4 linked regions of the Arabidopsis thaliana genome follow. The protein of the gene in region 4 interacts with the protein of the main gene of each other region in a pairwise test. Each region holds a gene or a part of one and is shown on either strand. Other genes may lie near its edges.

What was found.
Region 1: the proteins of AT3G17620 (region 4) and AT3G02810 interact in a protein complementation assay, tested with the Arabidopsis thaliana proteins (one large-scale study listed by BioGRID).
Region 2: the proteins of AT3G17620 (region 4) and AT3G03180 interact in a protein complementation assay, tested with the Arabidopsis thaliana proteins (one large-scale study listed by BioGRID).
Region 3: the proteins of AT3G17620 (region 4) and AT4G28370 interact in a protein complementation assay, tested with the Arabidopsis thaliana proteins (one large-scale study listed by BioGRID).

The regions. Positions count from the first base shown.
Region 1 is NC_003074.8:607,621-612,997, reverse strand, and holds AT3G02810 (Protein kinase superfamily protein), read left to right. Parts: upstream 1-1,858; 5' UTR 1,859-2,212; coding exon 2,213-2,303; intron 2,304-2,406; coding exon 2,407-2,579; intron 2,580-2,692; coding exon 2,693-2,882; intron 2,883-2,954; coding exon 2,955-3,352; intron 3,353-3,444; coding exon 3,445-4,269; 3' UTR 4,270-4,561; downstream 4,562-5,377. Other genes in the region: AT3G02820 (zinc knuckle (CCHC-type) family protein), read right to left, coding at 1-17, 179-278, 902-1,024, 1,114-1,476; PFA-DSP3 (Tyrosine phosphatase family protein), read left to right, coding at 5,294-5,377. UniProt on the Arabidopsis thaliana protein: Involved in pollen tube guidance into micropyle. Participates in perception of the ovule-secreted peptide signal LURE1.
Region 2 is NC_003074.8:731,524-735,502, reverse strand, and holds AT3G03180 (Got1/Sft2-like vescicle transport protein family), read right to left. Parts: upstream 2,120-3,979; 5' UTR 1,973-2,119; coding exon 1,942-1,972; exon of another isoform or gene 1,838-1,941; coding exon 1,746-1,837; intron 1,661-1,745; coding exon 1,580-1,660; intron 1,501-1,579; coding exon 1,403-1,500; intron 1,300-1,402; coding exon 1,023-1,299; 3' UTR 872-1,022; downstream 1-871. Other genes in the region: GSTF11 (glutathione S-transferase F11), read right to left, coding at 1-74, 165-213, 286-432; AT3G03170 (uncharacterized protein), read right to left, coding at 2,774-3,077, 3,271-3,437. UniProt on the Arabidopsis thaliana protein: May be involved in fusion of ER-derived transport vesicles with the Golgi complex.
Region 3 is NC_003075.7:14,032,554-14,040,298, forward strand, and holds AT4G28370 (RING/U-box superfamily protein), read left to right. Parts: upstream 1-1,982; 5' UTR 1,983-2,462; coding exon 2,463-2,600; intron 2,601-3,259; coding exon 3,260-3,332; intron 3,333-3,460; coding exon 3,461-3,588; intron 3,589-3,681; coding exon 3,682-3,797; intron 3,798-3,883; coding exon 3,884-3,944; intron 3,945-4,047; coding exon 4,048-4,114; intron 4,115-4,188; coding exon 4,189-4,266; intron 4,267-4,367; coding exon 4,368-4,525; intron 4,526-4,618; coding exon 4,619-4,678; intron 4,679-4,770; coding exon 4,771-4,864; intron 4,865-5,135; coding exon 5,136-5,303; intron 5,304-5,765; coding exon 5,766-6,094; intron 6,095-6,268; coding exon 6,269-6,385; intron 6,386-6,467; coding exon 6,468-6,569; 3' UTR 6,570-6,620; intron 6,621-6,952; 3' UTR 6,953-7,115; downstream 7,116-7,745. Other genes in the region: ENODL3 (early nodulin-like protein 3), read right to left, coding at 459-877, 955-1,135; AT4G28380 (Leucine-rich repeat (LRR) family protein), read right to left, coding at 7,203-7,745. UniProt on the Arabidopsis thaliana protein: E3 ubiquitin-protein ligase that regulates the degree of methylesterification of pectin in seed mucilage. May be involved in the recycling of pectin methylesterase enzymes in the endomembrane system of seed coat epidermal cells.
Region 4 is NC_003074.8:6,025,669-6,029,761, forward strand, and holds AT3G17620 (F-box and associated interaction domains-containing protein), read right to left. Parts: upstream 2,027-4,093; coding exon 830-2,026; 3' UTR 778-829; downstream 1-777. Other genes in the region: RBL14 (RHOMBOID-like protein 14), read left to right, coding at 1-505; AT3G17626 (structural constituent of ribosome), read left to right, coding at 2,511-2,552, 2,707-2,826; CHX19 (cation/H+ exchanger 19), read left to right, coding at 3,533-3,730, 3,821-4,093.

The sequences.
Region 1 (5,377 bases), 5.4 Mb from region 4:
ACTTGGCTGATCCATATCTAGATTACCAGCAGAAGACTATTCATTACCCACAAGATTGTAATGTAACAGATATTGAACTTAAGTGTTATGCAGCCACATAAGAAGCGTTTCCTTTTCGTATCAATATCTTAAACTTAAAAGAAGATTCAAGGGAAAAAAGCTGATCTGTTTGACATACCTTGATCATCAGAAGGAACAGTATTTTCTTCCTGCTTTTCGTATAACTTGTTTGGATCAACTCCACTGGCAACCCTTTCTCGCAGTTCATTTATACAATTCTAAAAGGATAACACATCAGTATATATCAATGTATCAAGTATAAATGCAAAGGCAACATAGCCATTGAGTGAATATATAGTTTCAGTTTCTGGCAGAACCTAACTATGTTAGGGAAGTAAAGAACGTATGAGCAACCTAACACAGCCTCAGAGTCTAGTAATTCGAACTTTAAAGCAACAGATGATTGATCACCAAAGAACGAGACAAGCAATGTCATTCTGGCCTATATAATTTGTTTCACGATGTTAGCCCGTCAGCAGGATTCAGATCAAGTATAAACGCAAAGGCAACATAGCCATCAAGTGAACATATAGTTTTTAGTTACTGGAAGAACCTAAGTATGTTACACAAGTAAAGACTAACATATGAGCACAATGATCATATACCAAAACAGCCTAACAAATACTCAGATCCTCTATCTTGCAACTTGAAAGCAACACATGAGTGAACATCAAACAAGGAGACGAACAATGTAATTCTGATTACAGCAATCTAGACTAACCACTGCTTAATACAATCATCGGAATATTTTCAACCTTTAAATCCGGATTCATAGATTCACAATTGCCACAAGGAAGAACGCTTTACAAAAACAGAAAAAGTGGATCGAGCAATGTAGTACCTTAACACGCTTAGTAGAAGCGACTTGTTGAACTTTATGCACAAAGTGATCAAAGGAATAGTAAGGTAGCAAATGAGTGTGCCACTCACTGTACAACCGTATCAAATTCCCCAAATCGCTCACCTATAAAAATTATTCATATTATCCAAATTATCACACTGTAACATGTAAAACCGCTGTTAAACGAATCTGCGGGTGAAAAAAAGACTTGCCTCTTTGCCTCGGCCACGATACTTGAAGGATTTAGGGAAATAGCGAAGAACATAGCCGAGACCATCCTCAGAGAGTAACAATTCAGGAGTTAGCTTGGGCCTTTGAACTCTCGTCTTCGTCACTTTAGGAGCAGGAGCTATTGAGGTTCCACTTTTACTGGAGGATCTCTGAAATTCATTATTAGGGATTTGAGATGGAGCGGAAGAAGAAGAAACGGAATTATTGCCGGCGACCGGAGCCGATGATGGACAATCACGAGACCAATGACCGGGACGACCACACTTGAAGCATCCCGTCGGAGCTGATTCCATTTCAGATTTCACTCTTCGATCTCTCTTTCTCCCTCTTAGGTCTTTTATCATTCCACCATCGAAAATTATTTGGGCGGTTTTCACTTTTTCTTTAGCGGGAAAATTAGACGAGTCGGGTACTGTTTGACCCGGTTTATTATAAAAACCTAAAGAAAGAGAAGCCCATTAAATACAAATTTTGGAACCAAACATATTGTAATTTGAGGCCTTAAAGCCCAGTAGAATATATTAGTAACGTAGTAGAGAAGACAGAGAGTTGCAAATAATGTCCAGAAATAGTATTATTATAGTCCAGAAATAGCGTTTTTTAGCGGGATGATCTATCAATACTGGCAAAAATTATTAATTTTAGTGTGTTGTGGGACAGATTAATCCACTTCAAGATCATTACTTGAGAATTTATTTACAGGATTTTTAAAATTAGGTTATACAGAAATTCGAAAGAAGAAGGATGGTTCTCCATGCTTTTGGGAAAAGGTAAGAGTTTATGAGAGATTGAGATTATTACAAAAAATCTAAACTTTTTTTTTGTCCATTTTTTCTCGGAAAAATTACTCTTCTTCATCGATTTTCCGGTGGTTTGGATTGTCAACTTCATCTTCTTCTTCTCTTTCTCCTTTCATTTTTTTTCTTGTGTTTCTTCTTTTACGTGGGTCCTTCAATCTCCATGAAGGACCCGACCATTGCTTAATCCTAAACAAAACTCCAAAAATCTAATTCTTTTCGATCTGTTTTATCTTCAAATAATAATACTCTTTGATTGCTAAAACCGATTTTGATCATCATCATGCACTGTTTTCCGTGTTTCTCTTCGCCAAAGAACAAGAAATCTTCAACTACGAATGAGACCAACGACAACAACGAACCCAAACCAGATGGTATTTATCTCCTAACGATGTACCATTTCTTAGTTTTCCTTGTTCATACGATCAGTAAAATGAAAGAAAACAAAAAATGATCATTTTTTGTTTGTTTTTAAAGATAGGAGACGTGCAGAAGAAACAGAGGAAATAGAGCAATCGGAAGGAACATCGTTGAAGATATTCACTTTCCGGGAATTAGCTACAGCCACAAAGAATTTCCGGCAAGAGTGTTTGCTAGGAGAAGGTGGATTTGGTAGGGTTTACAAAGGAACCCTCAAATCTACTGGCCAGGTTCTTCCTTAAATCTCCAGAATTTGGAATTTAGGATACATTCATGAGACCATCACCAAAGTTAGGTATTTTTCAATGAGCCATCATCAGAATCAGAAGAATTTGTCTTGTAGGTGGTGGCTGTAAAGCAACTAGACAAGCATGGATTACATGGAAACAAAGAGTTTCAAGCTGAGGTTTTGTCTTTAGGCCAACTTGATCATCCGAATCTTGTTAAGCTTATTGGTTACTGCGCGGATGGAGATCAAAGGCTTTTGGTCTATGATTATATCTCTGGAGGTTCACTTCAAGACCATCTTCATGGTACTAAATTGAGAGATTCTCATTGAACACATTTTTTTTACTTTGAAAGAAATGACAATTTGAATTTTGCAGAACCAAAAGCAGACAGTGATCCGATGGATTGGACAACTAGGATGCAGATAGCGTATGCTGCAGCGCAAGGGCTTGATTACTTGCACGATAAAGCGAATCCACCCGTGATATACAGAGATTTGAAAGCTTCAAACATTTTGTTAGATGATGACTTTTCTCCTAAGCTTTCTGATTTTGGTCTACATAAGCTAGGACCCGGGACAGGTGATAAGATGATGGCTTTATCTTCACGAGTAATGGGAACTTATGGTTACTCTGCACCTGAGTATACACGAGGCGGAAATCTCACTTTGAAATCAGATGTCTATAGCTTTGGTGTTGTGTTGCTTGAGCTTATCACGGGTCGAAGAGCTCTTGATACTACTAGGCCTAATGATGAACAGAACTTAGTTTCTTGGGTAATAAATAACAAACCCTAATATTATTGCACTTTTTCAACCAAGTTAAAACAAGAAGTTTTTATCTTGCTGAACAATTCATGTTATCGCAGGCACAACCGATATTTAGAGATCCGAAGAGGTATCCCGATATGGCAGATCCAGTTTTGGAGAATAAATTCTCAGAGAGAGGATTAAACCAAGCAGTGGCAATAGCTTCAATGTGTGTGCAAGAGGAAGCATCAGCTCGTCCTCTTATAAGCGATGTAATGGTTGCGCTTAGCTTCCTTTCGATGCCTACAGAAGATGGTATTCCCACAACAGTTCCTATCTTATCCTTCAAAGACAAGAGCATGTCTATAGCCTTAAGCCGACATGATTCAAATCTTGTATCTCCTCCTCCTGAGCTAGCTACGGAAGATGACAAATCTAGTACCTCATCAGGCGAAGAATCATCTTTGGAGAGCGAAAAGGAGAGTGTGAGTAAGAATGAGTATAAGAAGAAACATGAAGAGGAAGATAGCTCAATGGAATCTGATGATGAGTCTGATTCTAACTCTGAACATGAAAAGGACCAACCACCAAAGCCTATTGATGAGAAGAACCAGGCGCAAAGCTTGAAGATAAAGTATAGATATAGCTGGGAAGATATTGATGTCAATGATGAGAGGCTAAGCAGTAAAAGCAGCCAAAAATCAAACGACGAAAGTACTTCTTCGCGTTATGATAGCGACAGAGATCAAGACGAGAAAGGGAAAGAAGAAGAGGAAGAGGAAGAGGCAGAAGAAAAGCATACTCATATTGAACACATTGATAGCTCAAAAACTGATGATGATCAAAGTGTTTACTTTGATAATGATGATGATTCAGGAGATGACAATGGAGGCTCTTTGCATCGGATAAAATCAGATGTTGCGATCGATTCTATTAAAGAGTGACATTTTTCAAGATTTTTTATCAATCCGTTGAAGCTCACAAGAAGTATTTGAAACTTTTTTGGGTTTATTTTTGGGAAAAATTCTTAATTGGGTATTAAAATAAGATACATATTGACGGTTTTTCTTAACAAATTATAACCATCTCTCTTTATACATGATGAAGATGTTTTGGATTGATAGATTAATAAAGAAACAAGTTGTATAATCAGATAATCTGATTGAGAAAACTTATCTCAGCTTTTGTAATCCTTTAAAAAAAAATGTTACGTACTTGTGTTTTTCTTTAAATAGTAGATGAAATAATAATAGTTTAGCATTTTAAAGAAAAACAAGTATGAGATAATCAAACCCTAGATAAGAATCTTAATAATCAATCTTAGCTGTGACTCATATAGCCTATGAGCAAATATTACATTATTCATAGGAAATGGAAAGTATTAGATTCTCAATTTGGATATACTAAAGTAGATACTTAAACTGATAGATAAAAGACATATCTACTTCTTATCCTATTTTTGCAATTAAGGATAGTCTTTGTGTTTTCCATCTTTTTGTCAACGACACTTGTCAAAAGTTTCAGTCTGTGGAATCAAAATTTTTAAATGAGACCACTTAGTTTTACTTTTCTTTCATGATTCGACCACTATACTTTCTAAGAATATTTATTTTAATCAAAATTAGATAATGTTTACAGGATTGACCCAAATTAGATTCGTAAAGAATCGTCAGCTATGAGGTCAAATAAAAGCAGAGAAAACGACACGTGTCAGGATCTTGGAGATTCCTGAAGTGAGGTCCACCCTAAAATCCATTTAAGGTTTTCTAAGCAAATCAACAAAGGAAGGAAGGATCCTACCAAAAGCTCCCAAAATCTGAGTACGCTTTTCAAAGTTGTCTCCTTTATGAACCCCACTTGATCCCTTCTCCTCCTATAAAAACATCTTCTTCTCAGATCAATCCCATCAAATCTCGGGTCTTGCTCTGTTTCTCTCTTTTTGATTCTTTTAGAGGTTTACTGAATTCGATGTGTTTGATTATGGAAACGGATGATCACAACGGTGATGTTTTAGCGCCGCCGTCGAATTTCTCGATGGTTGAAGATGGAATT
Region 2 (3,979 bases), 5.3 Mb from region 4:
CAAAGTCTTGCCCAATAGGTCCGTTCCTTGGTCCGCATACTTTGTCGCGTAGTACCTCGCTATGGCTCGCGATTCTTGAAACCATAAATCGAACATATAAATAGCTTTTCTACATGTAGTCATTTAAGAGAAAAAGCAGCAAAATATTTGAGAATGTATCTTACCAAAAAGCTTCAGATATCCATCTTCAATAGCTGGAACTTGACCAAACGGCTAATACAAGTATACAACGTAATGAATAACACGTTTTCTGTGATAATACTGAAAATATTGTGACTTATATACCTGACGAAGAAGATGTTGTGGTTTTTTCTGTTCAAGTTTATCGAGATCGACATGAATTACTTCAAACTCGATGTCTTTTTCCAAAAAGCAGAGCAATACTCTTTGTGGATTAGCTGCTTTTATCTGCCCATATACTTTGACCACCATTTTCTGATTATATGTTTATACGTAACTATTGATATGAAATTGTAAATACCGACATGAATGTGGATGTATGCATTTATAGGCCACAAAAGTTATAAAATGTTTATGAGTGCCTTTGTCTGCTGTGGATATTAATCAGTGGTCATTTTTTTTTTTTTTTTCAAATCCGTTGGACCTTTGAGTAGGTGAGATCATGAAACGTGCTTTTAGCATGGAATTCTTGATTTTTAAAATGTTTTTTGTTGTTGTTCTAATTAAAATTGTGAATAATAACGTTTACAAGAGCTGTGAATTATTTTTCACTATAGTACTGGAGATGTGTACAGTAGACGAACCAACATTTAATTACAGTTAACTTATAATAAGTGTCGATGTGAAACAAACTTTGAAGGTTACTTTGCGTATATATTTTGGCATTCATGAATGTTTCTGATTGCTCTAATTTGCTAAATCAGGTTTCTAATTACATATATGTAAAATTTTGTAAATTTAAAATAAAATACAAAAGGTATTTGTTTTTGTACAGTCCAATTATGTCAAATATGATACAAGAGACTAGAGAGTGTTAAGAACTCTAAATGCCATGTTAAGCTTCATAATTGGATAGTGGTCAATTCGCACACAAAAAGAAAGAAAGAAAGGCAAAGAAGGTTTAGACAGGGACACGCCTTCCACGGTAGCGATCCAGCAACTGATTCAGTGACCAATATATATAGTTGGTAAAAGTTTGATTGGATAAGGCAAATAAGTCTAAATAGTAAAACAGAGAGAAGTTGCAATGAATGTACCGATCTGATGTATGGTTGCTGCAAAAGCCAGCCTAATAGAGGTATCCTTTGAAGGAAGACGGCAAGTGTAGGCCAGAAACCACTTTAAAATTACAGAAGAATAAAGGAAAGACATGAGTCAGCAAATCAAAACTAGAAATGAATTAGTAAAACCATTAAATGTTGTTGAGGAGAAGAAAACCCACCTGAAGAGCACAAGGAACCCATATGATTCAAGAAGCAAACCGAAAATAGGCCATCCAAACACAACCAACAAGAAACCCAATCCAAATGATATAGTACCCTGTATGTATATCAAGAAGATGTATTATTGTATTAATAATAGTCATCAAATTGGAAGCACAAGGGATTCATGAAAGAACCTTAAAATTCTGCCGTTTAGTAAAGAATTGGATTGCTGGGTTGATTCCAATGGTTAGAGTCACACCAGCTAAGAAGAGGATCTGTCCAAAGAGACCACAGAGACCCTTAAAAAGCCTTGCTAAAATCGTAAAGAACACACACCAAAGATGGTATAAATAGACCTACGTTCCCCATGGCTATGAGTCCCTTGTCAAACACAAATATCACTCCCAGGAATGTAAAGAACACACCAAATCCAGTCAAACCTAGCCCTATCTCTGCCACATCAATCAAATTCCTTAACGATTCAGCAATTCAAGATCAATGGATACTAGTTCATTATCACATCCCTATTCAAAGAGTTTATGATTGGAACACTTACTTTTTAGGTCATTCATCTCCAAGGAAGCCATTGTTACCGAAAAAATTGCACAATCAAAAACCTTTAAGAGCAGGAATTCAAACAAATTTAAGATCTGAGAAAGTGTTATCTTTTGATCTCTGAAATCAATCCAAGAGTTTGAATCGATGAAGAATGGATCGTGCCAGTGAAAACTTCGTCATCCCATGGGTCTCCACGTCATCTTGACAGCATTATACAATAATCATTAAGAAATTTCAAAAGAACCACCTAACTATTAATTATTTCGGAATACACCCCAAAACATTTCTAGACTTTAGCATTCTACATATAATTTCTGCCATGAATTGGATAAAACAAAAAGTAAGGTGTATTTTAATGACAAAGAAAATACATGATGGAATTTGTACTAGTTAGTATAAGTGGGTAAAATTTGTAAATATGAAAGCTAAGAGACATGTAAATTTGCCGCAAAAAAAAGAGGCTGTAAATTAAGAAAGCCCATTGTAGGCCCAATATAGATAACTGCGACTCCTCTAGTCCAGCCCATCAATCTCTAAGAATTTAGATTTTTCATTTTCTTAATTCATCAATTTTAATTTTCTTAGTTCATCACATCTAAAAATACAGAACATTATTTTAATTTTCTTAGTTCATCACATCTAAAAATACAGAACATTTTCAATTGGTCAGTTACTTGTATATATACTGTTAAGTGCTCTCTAAATTAAACTGAAACTTACAAAATTATCAAAAGAGTCAAAACACTTTAAAGTAACAACAACTTGTACAAGATTAGAAAACAAAAGATTTGAAAAACATCGTCCCAAACGAAACCCGGTTCTCTTCCGGTTTAGGTTCGAGTGAGCAAAGCCGAAATATGAGCCGCCGAGAGCGTCTGGGCTCTCGGAGGCGGTCTGTTACCGGAAAGTCGCGGCGGTCTATCGTTCCCAGCGAGAAAAACGTCGTGGACACTTAAATTTCGCTCCGATGCGCCGCCGCATCCTGATAATCTACGACAGTGAGGGCTCTCTCGTCGCTGCTTCAGCTTTGCGTTGAATGGATTCTCAGGCTTCGCGAGATCTTCCACAGTTAGCGCTTCTGCCAACGTTGTGAACGATTGTGATTTACCTTTGTAATGTTTCGACAATCCTCTCCTGTTATCAAAATTTCCCAAACATAAATTCGTGGTAGGAAGATTAAAAAGTTTCTTTACAACGAAAAAGATCTCAGAAATTAATTATACCCCTAAACTATAAGATTGTTTAAGAATACACCCTAATGATTGGGGTTTGTTCTGACAATTACTAAAGCCAGGGGTTAAAAGCGGAACTTTCTGATTCTCATTACCTTGAAGAAGAAGAAGAACTGCGACGGTCCGAATCATCAGGGGAGTTTGGAAAAGAAGAGGGAGAGTTAACACCTTCATCTGCGTCCGCGTCTACGTCTCTGGTGTAGTTTCCGCGTCTGCGTTCTTCACCCAACATAAGAGACTCCATCTGTTCTTGATAGTGCATTTTTTCTTCTAAGCGGCTTCTAATTGATTAAGAGTTGAGAGAACAGTGGCATTTATACGACTATAATTATTTTAATGAATGTGTTTATATAGTCGGCCCGTTATTAAAGTTTATTTACAATGTTTACGCAATGGATATTCGAATTTAAAACATTATCTAATGAGCTCTGTTTGTCAAATAACATGTCACGCCCATGAACATGGGTTCTGGTTTTGCGGTCTTTATATAATAAGTAGGGTATTTTTTTATGTCAGAGATAAGATATTTTGGGAATGATGGAACAAGATGACGACACGTGGAAAGAGTGAAGAAATGGACGGAGTTTAAATACTTGTTTACGTGGTGGGTGGAAACAGATGGCACGAACAACGAGGCCATCGAGAATCTCTGTGTAACGAATCTAACGATACGTGTCGAACTACGTTGAACAGATTCAAAGACTTTTGGGCCATGATTGATAAATGAACTTTATTTTATGTATTTATGGACCGTTTCTAAGGCCCCTTAGCACATGATCGCTTTGAAAAAACATATCAAGATGT
Region 3 (7,745 bases), on a different chromosome or scaffold from region 4:
AGACGGCGGTAGTATATTTTTTTTGTTAACTCCTTGACATATTCTCTCTATTGGATTTCGGTGTACCGGTTTAATATATTGATTAAAGTTAAATTGTTCAAACCATTCTTATATGTACAAAAAGTGTATAAGATCTATTTATATGTTTCAACAAGATTTTAGTTTGTGTGGAGAAGTTTTATTGCATGAGCTATGTGAACTCTACATATTCGTCGTATATATTCATATTAGTGTGATCATAATTAAAACACAAAATAAAAACATTCGCATCTAATCAATACAAAAAAACATCTTAAATATTTTCTTTAGTAAGAACAAAAACGAGACAGCGGAAACATTAAAAATGGGTTACAAGATGCTTCAAACATACAAATAAAAAGGCACATAAATATGAAACTCAATGGTAGAGTAATTAATACCCTCACAAATTTAATGACTAGCGACAATATATAAACCCCTCAAAACAGAGAACTTATCATAATCACAAGAACCACCATCCCCGGACCAACCAAACCGGCCGAATTGGGAGCTGTAGCCGGTCCTGGAGCTGGAACACGAGAGTTTGAATCAGATGATGGTTCCACTCCTGGAGAAGGCCCCGGCGAAGACAACTCCTGATGGACCGGAGACGGGGAGGGAGAGGTATGACGAGGAGAGTGGCTGTGGTGGACGGTGGACAAGACCTTGACGGCTAGCTTCTGACCTTTAAGACAGTTTTGAGAGTTGCCACTAATGAAAAAGTAGGAACCTGAGTGGCTAAGTAGGAAGAGAGAGTCTCCGTCTGAGAGGGAAGTCAGGGGGTGTGTCGTGTTGCATGTGTTGTACTCTTGTTCAGTCACCTCCAACACTGAATCTTTTCCCTTGGCGTACTTAAAATCTTGTAAAAATCAAAATTACTATGCATTAATATTGACACATTGTGTATATATAGTAGAGAAGAGGAAATAGACTTACGAAGAGTGTCGTTGACTTGAAACCGGTTTCGGTGAGACCAATGAGAATAATCTTCGGAAGGAGTCGGGACCCAACCATCTTTCCCACCAACATAGAACTTGTATCCATTTGATATCGTAAACCCTAAACCCATCAACATCACAAACATAAGGTAAAGATCAAACCTCATGACCAAACCCATCTCCGATGCAAAACGTTAATCAAACCCCAACTTCTTACTAACTCTTTTGAAGTGAGTGTGTGTGTGTGTGTGTGTTTGCAACCTCAAGAGGTGCTTATTTATGGTGAAAGTAAAGAAAACATAGCCGTTAGGTCAAGCTTTTTGGGCTGTGCATCGATTACCTAAAGAAATGCGAATTAAGTAGAAGCGTTTTGGTTTTGCTCCTGTCTTCTTTTGAACACGTCTCGACATGCAGTGGACTTAACGGCTATCTACCTTTAATTTTTCACTTTCTTTCTCACAAACAAACATTTCTCACTCAGATCTTGTAATTATTTAGCCATCAAATATAAAATTGTAATCCTTTAGTATTTATTATTATTTAAAACTTACGTTACATATTGTTTTATTTTATATTTCAATTTACAAATCGATAAATATCCCAGTGATACAATAATAAAATTTTAGTGGGCCTTTCAAATGGATTGGGTATGTTGTAAGAAAGGCTTTGCAGTTTCTTCTCCTCTACCTTTAAAGCCCAACTATTAGTAGAAGACTGAATCCTTTTTGATTGTCTTGTAGTTTACACAATGTACACAATCTTTCTCCTAATTTTATACTCTTTCTCCTCTACTTTTAAAACATCAACTACTGTAGTTGGACAATATTAGAAATTGTTTACTTTCTATAATGAGGATTTAGTGGGGGTGAAGGATCTAATTAAATATTTGATGATCGTTCCTAAACTGTGAGATCGAAATATACAAATTTCTACTTATGTTTTAGTCCAAAAAAAAACGTAATAGATTGGTACAAATCCTTTTTGAGGAAAAAAGAAGTTTTAAGGCGTAAAGAAAAGACCTGAGAATATGAAACCTCAACTAACTAATTTATCAATTGAACCTTCCTTCGTTTATAACAGAAAAAGCTAATAAATAAAAATAAAAATAAAAATCAGAGAGACCAAAAAGAAGTTTCGACTTGTTCAACAATTGAGTTATTGAAGAATACGTTTGATTGAGAAGCTTCAACGACCGCAATTGCCCAAATTCATCAATTGGAGTTTTTTATAAAACAAATTGCATCTTAAGGTTGTTATTGTTGTTGTTGTTTATCTGTCTGTAATCATCTTTCTATCTGCTGTCTGATACATCTACGAATCTTATGCTGTCTTTTGGGTTTTCTTACACAACCAAAACCAAAGCCTAGTTTTGTTTTGACTTCATTTGAAGCAAACCTCTTTCTTTCTTCAGTTATGTGGGTTTTTGAGCTAGACTCGAATCAGTTCTGATCCAGTCGGATTTTGTATTGAGTCATAAAGAAGGGATTTTTGGGGGTTGTGAGTGATATGAAGAAGCGGGAACATTTGGGATTAGGGTTCTTCGAGTGGCAGATTATCTTATGGTTATCGATTTGGTTGGCGATTTCGCAACAAGCGCTGGGATTGAGACCTATTAGGGAGAAACCTCGATCATGGAGTGACGAGGTATGTGTGTGTGTTTTTACTTTATTGATGATTGTTCGAAAGTTTCTTCATTTCGATGTTTCCCAGAAACATATTTTTATGTTTTGTTCGTAATTTTGATGTGCCTTTCCAACTAAGAATTCGAGCAGTTTGCTGTCAAATGTTTTTTTTATTGACTTGTTTCTGCTCATGATTTGCTGAACGAGAACTGGTCATAATTGATGATTTTTTTTCTAAGTCTGAGATTTTCTGAGTTTCGAAGAAAATGGACCATATTGAATGAAAATCCCGGAGTAGAGCAGCTCTGATCTAAGTTTTATCTTTTGATTTGATTGAGCAAAGCTGAAAATGTATATAAACTATTTACATTAGCTCGATTGAGCTCATCGGTATCTAAGCTTTGTTCTGCCGGCGAATACTTTGAGATGAATAAGAATGAATCTGTCGTTAGTAGTGTGGTGTGATGAGACTACAATAATGGAGTCTAAGGTACATAGAGACCGGTTAGTTGTTACAGAAGTAGAACGCGTGATAGTGGGGAATCTTCGATGACATTTTACAGTTTGGGTTTGTAGCTAGTGACTTTTAAGTAGACTGTGCAAAGGGAACTCATGTACGTTAGACTGACCAGGCAATGTTTGGGTAATGGTTTAATACGTGAGGTCTTTGTGATCTTGCAGTGGCTCTTTGGTAGGAAACAAGAAGCTGAAGTTGGACCCTTTTCTGCTTGGAATATAACAGGAACTTATAGAGGTTTGCCGCATGCCCTTCTCCATTTTTTTTACGTCTTTTACACTTCAGGATTGTCTACGATGTTGTGGGTATATGTCTGTAGCTTAATGTTTTAGACTACTTATCAAATGTAAAGCGGGTATTTTCAGGAACTTGGAAGTTTCTGAATTCCTTAAATAGCTCTTCGAAGTTTCAAGACTTTCAAAAAGAAAATGGTAATTCTGTGGTTGAGTTAGTAGCAGTTCCAACGAAGATAACTGGTGTGCATTATGTTCAGGTAAAGAGTTCAGCTTCTAAGCTCTGTATCATAGGATCACCGTTGATGTTGTAGAATGCAATGTTTTGAACTTATACAACGTTAATGAAACAGGGTGTAGTTGTTTTCCATGACGTATTTGACAATGAACAAAATGTGGGTGGTGCCCAAATAAATCTGGAAGGTGTATATATATGGCCCTTTAGACAACTCCGCCTTGTGGCTAACAGGTACTAACTTTTGATTTATTTAACTGCTCTTAAGATTTATTATTGAGTCTTAACTCCAAGGTCTGTACATCACTTGACCTAAACAGCGGCAAGGAGAGTGATTCAGGGCAAGAAGACAATAATCTTCTCTCAAATCCCTATCATCTGGTAGTCCTTAAGACAACGATAGTGCTTTCTTCTGCTAATGGCTTGTTTGATGTGTTAAAATGTTCCAAGAGCTTACTAGTGTCAACTTTCTGTTGTTGTACAGCTTGGAATTTTCTCCTCTCAAGTGTTTCAAGAATCTCCAAGAGACAGATTACTGAAACGGAAACTTTGTAAGCAGTATCTTATTTTCTCCAGTATGGTTTACTTTTCAGCAACACTGATCTTCAATTCTCTTGTACTTCAGCTCCAGTAAATGAGATGGAGAAGCACTGTAATATCGAAATAGCAGCTCAAGTATCCCGTGTGGCTTCTAGTGAAAATAGTATGCATTCTAACTTTAAACATCGAAGTGATCTTGGTGTATTCTTTGTCTCCTTTGTCACATTTAATTGTAAATTGAAAGACTTTTCCATATTTTGGTAGATGGAGACAAAAATTATTATCACATGGAAGGATTGATGGAAAGTCCTGGGGTAGGCGATGACGGAGATTGTTTTTCCCCTTTGTTACTGAACGCAACTTCTGTAAATGTTGAAGTCTACTATAACAAAGCTGTGAACTATACACTGATGGTCACTTTTGTATCCTTTACTGAAAAGTCGTTTACTCTTTCATAATAGAATGCCGAGTTCTTGTGCAATTTTACGTGTTCCTTAACTCTCTATTGCATTTAGGTCTCTTTCCTCCAGGTTCTTCTGTTGATCCGGCAAATGGAGCACGGTAACACACAATCTGTAAGATACTGTTTTAAACCAGATGGTCTGATATTGTTATTCTTGTACAGAACGAATAAAAATACTAACTTCCGCAAGTTATTGTATACAAGGGTGCTGCTAAGGTATCCATTGTAATGATTGGGCAACAAGCGATCATGGATGCTTATTTGTGCCTCTTACATCTAACAGCCGGTATATTAGTCGGTACGTATTTTGGTTATAATTGTACTCGTTAAAGGATGCCATCTTCTTATGCTTTTTAATTAACTTATTACTTCTTTTTCATGTAACATGTTTAGCTTTTATTTTACTCTGTAGTGTCCCTTCATTTTGATGATATTCTTTGTTGGTTTTTCATGGACCATTCGGTCCCTCATCTGTCTCACTGACCCTTATGCTACCTGACATTGTGATGTTCTTTTCTTTCTCAATTATCAATCAGTGTTAAACCTAAAGCTTACTACTTCTCATGCAGAATCTCTATTTAATGCATTTGCAACCGCTGCGTTCTTCAAGTTCGTAGTCTTTTCGATTTTTGAGATGAGATATCTTCTGGCTATATGGAAAGCAACCCGTCCTTCCAATAGCGGAGAGGGTTGGGAAACAATGAGGAGAGAACTGTCCTTTCTGTACAGTCGTTTCTGTGAGTACTTACTTCTTTGGTGTTTTTTTTATCGATTAAAGCTTCAAACTCTTTTCTTACTGCATGTTTATGATATGGGTCATATATAACTGCTTGATTCTCTTACCCTCTTTTCAATGCTATTTTCCTTGAAACCAATACCAAGAAAATGGTTTGAATTGTCTTCCAAACCACAGAGAAAAATGTAATATCCCAATGAGAAAATTGCATTTTTGGAAACTATACGAGTATATCCTGTCACTATGGTATGGAAAAATGGTTTTGTTTATCTTCTCAAAATTTCCAAGTTATTCACTAGTTTATGTAGGTTTTATTTTGATTCTAAGGACAATAACCTGCACTGAATCTTGAGTGCTAGATATTCTCACCATTTATGTGACTTCTGTTTTTCATTTAGCTGAAACTTTGACGCAAGTTCAGATGCTAATGCTGATGTTTCATCATTTTCACAATATTAAACAGATGGGATCCTTCTTGGAGGCATTTTGATAATGTACCAGTTCCACAACTACATGCAGCCGATTCTCCTTCTCATGTACTCATTTTGGATACCACAAATAGTCGCCAATGTTGTCCGGGATTCAAGAAAGCCTCTGCACCCATATTACATCTTGGGCATGACAGCTACACGGTTAGCTATACCGTTATATGTTTTTGGATGCCCACACAACTTCATGCGTGTAGAGCCCAACAAGGTTTGGTGTATATGCTTGTGCACATTCATGGGGTTGCAAGCCGTCATTCTTCTTCTTCAGCATTATTTTGGTTCACGCTGCTTTGTTCCCCGTCAGGTTAGTTTGTTTTGTATTCATGTAAACTACACATGAAACAATATATCTAATAAAGTGAACACTAAGTTTTCAGTTCGGTTTCAGTTTGGCTTGAATATTTCAAGTCTCGTTCCCATTGCTAAGTTGTTTTTGACTACCACTAATCTCTTTCTTCATCGTTTTGCCTACACGCAGATGCTACCAGAGAAATACAACTACCACCGAAGATTTAATCGGGATGTAAGCCGCACCACTGATTGTGTTATCTGCATGACCGCTATTGATCTCAGACAGCATACCAGTGATTGCATGGTACTGCAGTTTTTTCCTGCTTCTCTTAACTATATTTTTTCCCCAATAGACAGAATCATGAGTGTGGTTGTTCTGAAAACAGGTAACTCCATGTGAACATTTCTTTCACTCGGGATGCTTACAGAGATGGATGGATATAAAAATGGAGTGTCCAACTTGTCGGCGGTCTCTTCCTCCAGCATAGAGGATGTTTTCGGTTTGTTAGGATGTACAGACTTCACTCAGATTATTGCGGGTAACAACTCAAATCTAAATTTTTTATTTTACTTTTTTTCCTTCGAAGTTTCTTTGCCTATTAGGTCTATAGATAGGGTCTTGGTTCTATCTGAAGAAAATTTGTTGCTAACAGAAATATGATTTCATAAATGAGAATTCAAAATGATAAAACCCAAATCTCTGTAAATAGTTGGCCTATGAGGAATCATGCTTTTATTTGAGTGTTTCAGGTTTGTCGGTTCCTTTTTTTGTCTGACTGTGGGATGTATTACTTATTTGTCAAACATTCCTGAAGTGTGATTGTTCACAAAATCGCGAAGTTAACTGCTGCAAAATTTGATCCTGAAACAGGTGGGGCTGGTTCTTTAATTTCAGGTCCTTGCAGAGGTTTAGAAGATTTTTAGATGAAAACAGAGCAAAGGTGGAATCTGTAACTGCGGCTAGATACCGCAGATAGACAATTGTGTTCTGTATAAACTGTATTACGTTATAATCTTAGTGCATATTCTTCACCCCACAACTAAATCTTTCACACATTTCTAGTTCTTTCATTTTCTTTGCATACATAGCATCTTGTCATTGTGCGCATAAGAGTGAATCCTTATGTGTCAGCTGGACCAGGAGCAATGGAAGGTCCTGCGGTAGATGGAGCAACCAGTGGAGCCATGGGTGAGCATTCGTGGTCATAGCAGTCTATGGGGTGCTCAAGTACAGCATCACAGACTTTTTGGGGACGCTGAAGCGGTTTGTCAGGCAGACAGTTGTAGCGATCATCGATGGCTATTCCTCTGGAAGTCAGGTTCCTGCAGATACCTTCTTCTTCACTGAAATAGTTGTAAGAGACGGTAACGTTCAGCAAGCTGGGCAAAACGCAGACTCCAAGAGGGACAGTGCCAGTGAACATGTTGTGTTCCAGATTTAGCTGCTCGAGATGGCCTAGCCCAGCGAGACTGTAAGGTACAGGACCAACTAAACTGTTGTAGCTCATGTCCAGGACTCTTAGCTTGTAGAGATACCCGACTTCGGGGGGTAGACACCCAGATAAGCTTGAGTTGATTAGGAGAAGCTCTTCTAAGGTATCTGCAAAGCGGGCTATGGTTGGAGGCAGACAACCGCTAAAATCATTGTTGGCAAAGACGACAAC
Region 4 (4,093 bases):
TTCTCAAGCTGAGGATTACTCAAGTGTGTATGGTATCTTGGTTCCAACAAAGTATGCTGCTTGGGCAGAATTGATTCTAGTGCAGATGTTTGTACCTAACGCTTCGTTTCTTGGGCATTTGGGTGGAATCCTTGCTGGTATTATCTATTTGAAGCTGAAAGGTTCTTACTCAGGCTCAGATCCAGTCACTATGGCGGTTAGAGGTGTATCTCGATTGGTGACGTGGCCCTTGAGGTTTCTGAATGGTATGGTTAGGTCTCGGAGAAGGAGGATTACGGGGAGAGGAAGAGTGGGAAGAGGTCAGACTGGGATAGCAGGACCTGGTATTTGGAGATGTCAGTCGTGTACATATGACAATTCTGGTTGGTTAAGTGCTTGCGAGATGTGTGGCTCGGGACGGGCTAGAGGAAATGGATGGTCACTGAATCAGGGACCAGCACTTTCTTCTTCTAATGATCTCCCTTTAGATGAGCTGCGCCGTCGAAGAGTAGAGAGGTTTAGTTGATCTCGGGAGCGCATTCTTAAAGCTGAGGAAGGATTGTGAATGAAGCTTTGTTGAATCATTCATTGCATTAGCTTATGAATAGCAGAGTTAGTGGTCGTGTTTTTCGATCTGTTTCTTCAATTTGTCTTCTCTTTTGTTGTTGAAGATTTGGTTCTACGTGAACTGGTCCTTTGATTAGATTGCTGAAAGTAGCGAGTGATTCAGATAATATAGTATCTTCACACCAAACTTACAGTTTCACAGACTTTCGATTTTAACAAAATTTTATCCTATTTCAAACCAAATTTTGTTGAAAGAAGAAGATCACAAAGCAAGATATAAATGTTAATCAGTAATCAATTTCCCTTTTTTCTTCCTTTTGCCTCCTTGCTTGATTTGCGCTGAGCTTGGAACATACGAGCACACAAGTGGATCTCGAATTTTATCAGTAGTTTTTCCGAGATCCACTTCTTTGTAATATCCATCCTCTCCAATGATGTAAGCTGTGTTGTGAGTGGGATACATTACATCTTTGTCTTTAGCAAAGACTACAACAACTTTCTTCTCTTCGTCAATGATGAAACTCGCATCTGCAATTCCAAACTTAAAATCAGTGAGTGGTTGCATATCCACTGCTAAGAACAACTTGCTCCACATCACCTCTTCAGGTTCAATCTTAGTCGTAACCCAAATCTCCATATGTAAGTTGTCCTTACGCTGAAATAACACAGCAAGTTGCTCTTCTCTAACACTAGAAAGACTCACAGTATCTACATCCATAGGGTAACACGGCAAATGAAGACGCGGCCCAAATCTCTCCGATGTAAAATTAAAACAGAGCAAGAAATAAACACTATGTATAAGATTACTGCTGATTTCTGGAAACTTGTCTGTAGCAAACCAATAAGTATTTCCCTTGAGAGAGACACCTCGTGCATAAAACTCTACTTCCCAGTCGGAAGTGACATCGAGAACCCTCCATGAATTAGACTTTAACTCGTATATTTCGTACTCAACAAATTCTTCTTCGGCAAAATCAACGAATCGCAAAACTTTGTAGCGTAGGCTTGATTTACGCTTCTCGTATCCTATAGCACAGATATACCAGTCCATTCTATGGTCAGGACTACTGGGTTTGAGCCACAAAGTTTGGCTCCTATACGGATTCCAAACCACGACCCTAGTGTAGTCTTTCGAGATACATAACAGTAAACCGTCGCAGTGATATACTTCAGATATATCGATCTGATCTGTACCGTTTAGGCTAACAAGTTTAGCTTGACGGTTTATAGACGGGTCAAAGCCGTTGTGAATTCCACGGAGGTTGATGCTCGTTAGATAAACCTTACAATGCAAGACCATGACAACCTTAAACTCACTTTCCCTTGATGTTGCTTCCTGAGCAAGGTGCTTCTTTGTAAAGCTCCGCTTTTTGGATAATGTTTTCCAATTTTTGCAGGTAAATCGCGCTTCTCTCAATGATTTCACCGGAACCCTAGAGAGTCTCTCCTCCAACAAATCTCTTGGAAGATCGGACATCATCTTCAAATCTTTCAAATTTGAACAAGGATCGATGTAACACAAATTAGTTAGGTTTGAAACTTCAGTAAAAAGCTCTCATGTTTCCCCACAGGAACCCTAACTCAAGCTGGGCCGAAACACAACTCTGCCCTCTAAAAATTTCCCGGAATTATTCATCTTTTTGAACTCTTATTTATATGACTGTGATGTCGTTTCATTTATGGGCTTTATTATTGGGCTTTTAGCCCAACTGTAGTTAAAAACTTTTTAGTGATTCTCATTTGTATATGGCGGGGGAGATGATCGACGGTCGCTTCTTGCGGTGGAGATGGAGGAGGAAGACTCTCCTCTCCGACTGCGGCGATTGAACCGAGAGAGCCACCGAAGATTCGAAACCTACAAAATATAGAGGGTGATGTAATCCAGCGTCTGAGCTCGCTGAGAACAGCCTCGACGCCGATTCCAATTCAGTACGGTGGCTTAAAGCTCCTTCAATTCTCAGACCATGGCCAAGGCTCTGTATCTTTTGCTCACTGGTTCTACCATTGTGAGTTCTTCACTACCACCTGCTTTGAATTCAACTACAATCTATCTACAAAATTCTCTAGCCGAAACCTTTCAAGTTTTAGCATGAGACCCTTAGCTTCAATTGTTTTTCTCTTGGACACTGTCTAACTTTGATTCTTCTTGGAATTGATTAGGAAATGGCTAAGAAAGTTGGAGAAGTTATAGAAAAATCCTGCGTAGAGAATGGGATCACAAAGGTGGCCTTTGACCGTGCAATTTACACTTACCATGGCTTTAGCTGCTTCAGCAAATAGAACACGGTCTCCAATTTTAAGTCTTTTTTTGTTTTGTCCTTCTCAGAAATTTGCTTGTATAGAACCCATGATTGAAATTTAGATTAGTCGGCTTGGAACAGTGTTAACTTCTTCCTTTTTAATGTGTTCATTTGTTCTTACTACTTATGCATCTCAAGAATGTTTATATCGTCTATACGATGATAATATATTTGAAAATGGTTGATGTTTACAAAGCTTCAGAAGGTAAGACATCAAATGTGCTGCTTAGTTAAGAGACAGGTACAAGTGCTTGCAAATTTAGGACAGAAGGACAAAGACAGAGACGAAAACTTCGGCGCAGTGAAGGCAGTTCATATCTGCGAAGTATAGATGCGATATGGTTGGAAGTTAAGTAACTGATAGTCTATAAATAGAAAAGTGCGAGGTATATGCCCACCCTGGAGTTGGTATGTCCGCTTCTATCTCATCTACCTATTATTAGCAAACTATAGACGTTATTAGTTTTCTGTTTTTTCCTTTTATATACTCACTTCTTTAATGTAGATTCTGTTTAATAAAAACAGTAACAGAACAGAATAAAATCTTGATTTCTTTTTTTTCCTCCCATTCAGGTCTCATACTTCGTTTGGCAATGCAATGAGGGAGCAGCCAAGGCAGTATTGAAGGGTGAAGCAGTATCTCGTTTCTTGACCAATCATCAACCTGTAAGTAGATCTCCACTAGGATGGCAAGCACCAACGTTACAGGGCAATGCCCGGGTCCAATGAAGGCTACCTCCAATGGAGCCTTCCAAAACGAAAGCCCTCTTGATTTCGCGCTTCCTCTTATCATCCTACAAATCGTCTTGGTGGTTGTGTTTACAAGGCTCTTAGCTTACTTTCTTAAGCCTCTCAAACAGCCCCGAGTCATTGCTGAGATCATTGTGAGTTTCCTACTCAATCTCTTTGTATTTTTCTTTTTCTGTTTTGATGAAATCACATAGCAAAAGAGACTAAAAGGGATGGTTCTGTAGGGAGGGATACTGCTTGGACCTTCTGCACTAGGGAGAAGCAAGGCCTATCTTGACACCATCTTCCCAAAGAAGAGCTTGACCGTTTTAGACACACTCGCCAACATTGGTCTTCTGTTTTTCTTGTTCCTAGTTGGGCTTGAGCTTGACTTTGCAGCAATAAAAAAAACTGGAAAGAAATCACTATTGATAGCCATAGCTGGGATCTCACTTCCTTTTATAGTGGGTGTAGGCACATCTTTTGTTCTCAGTGCCACCATAAGCAAAGGAGTCGAT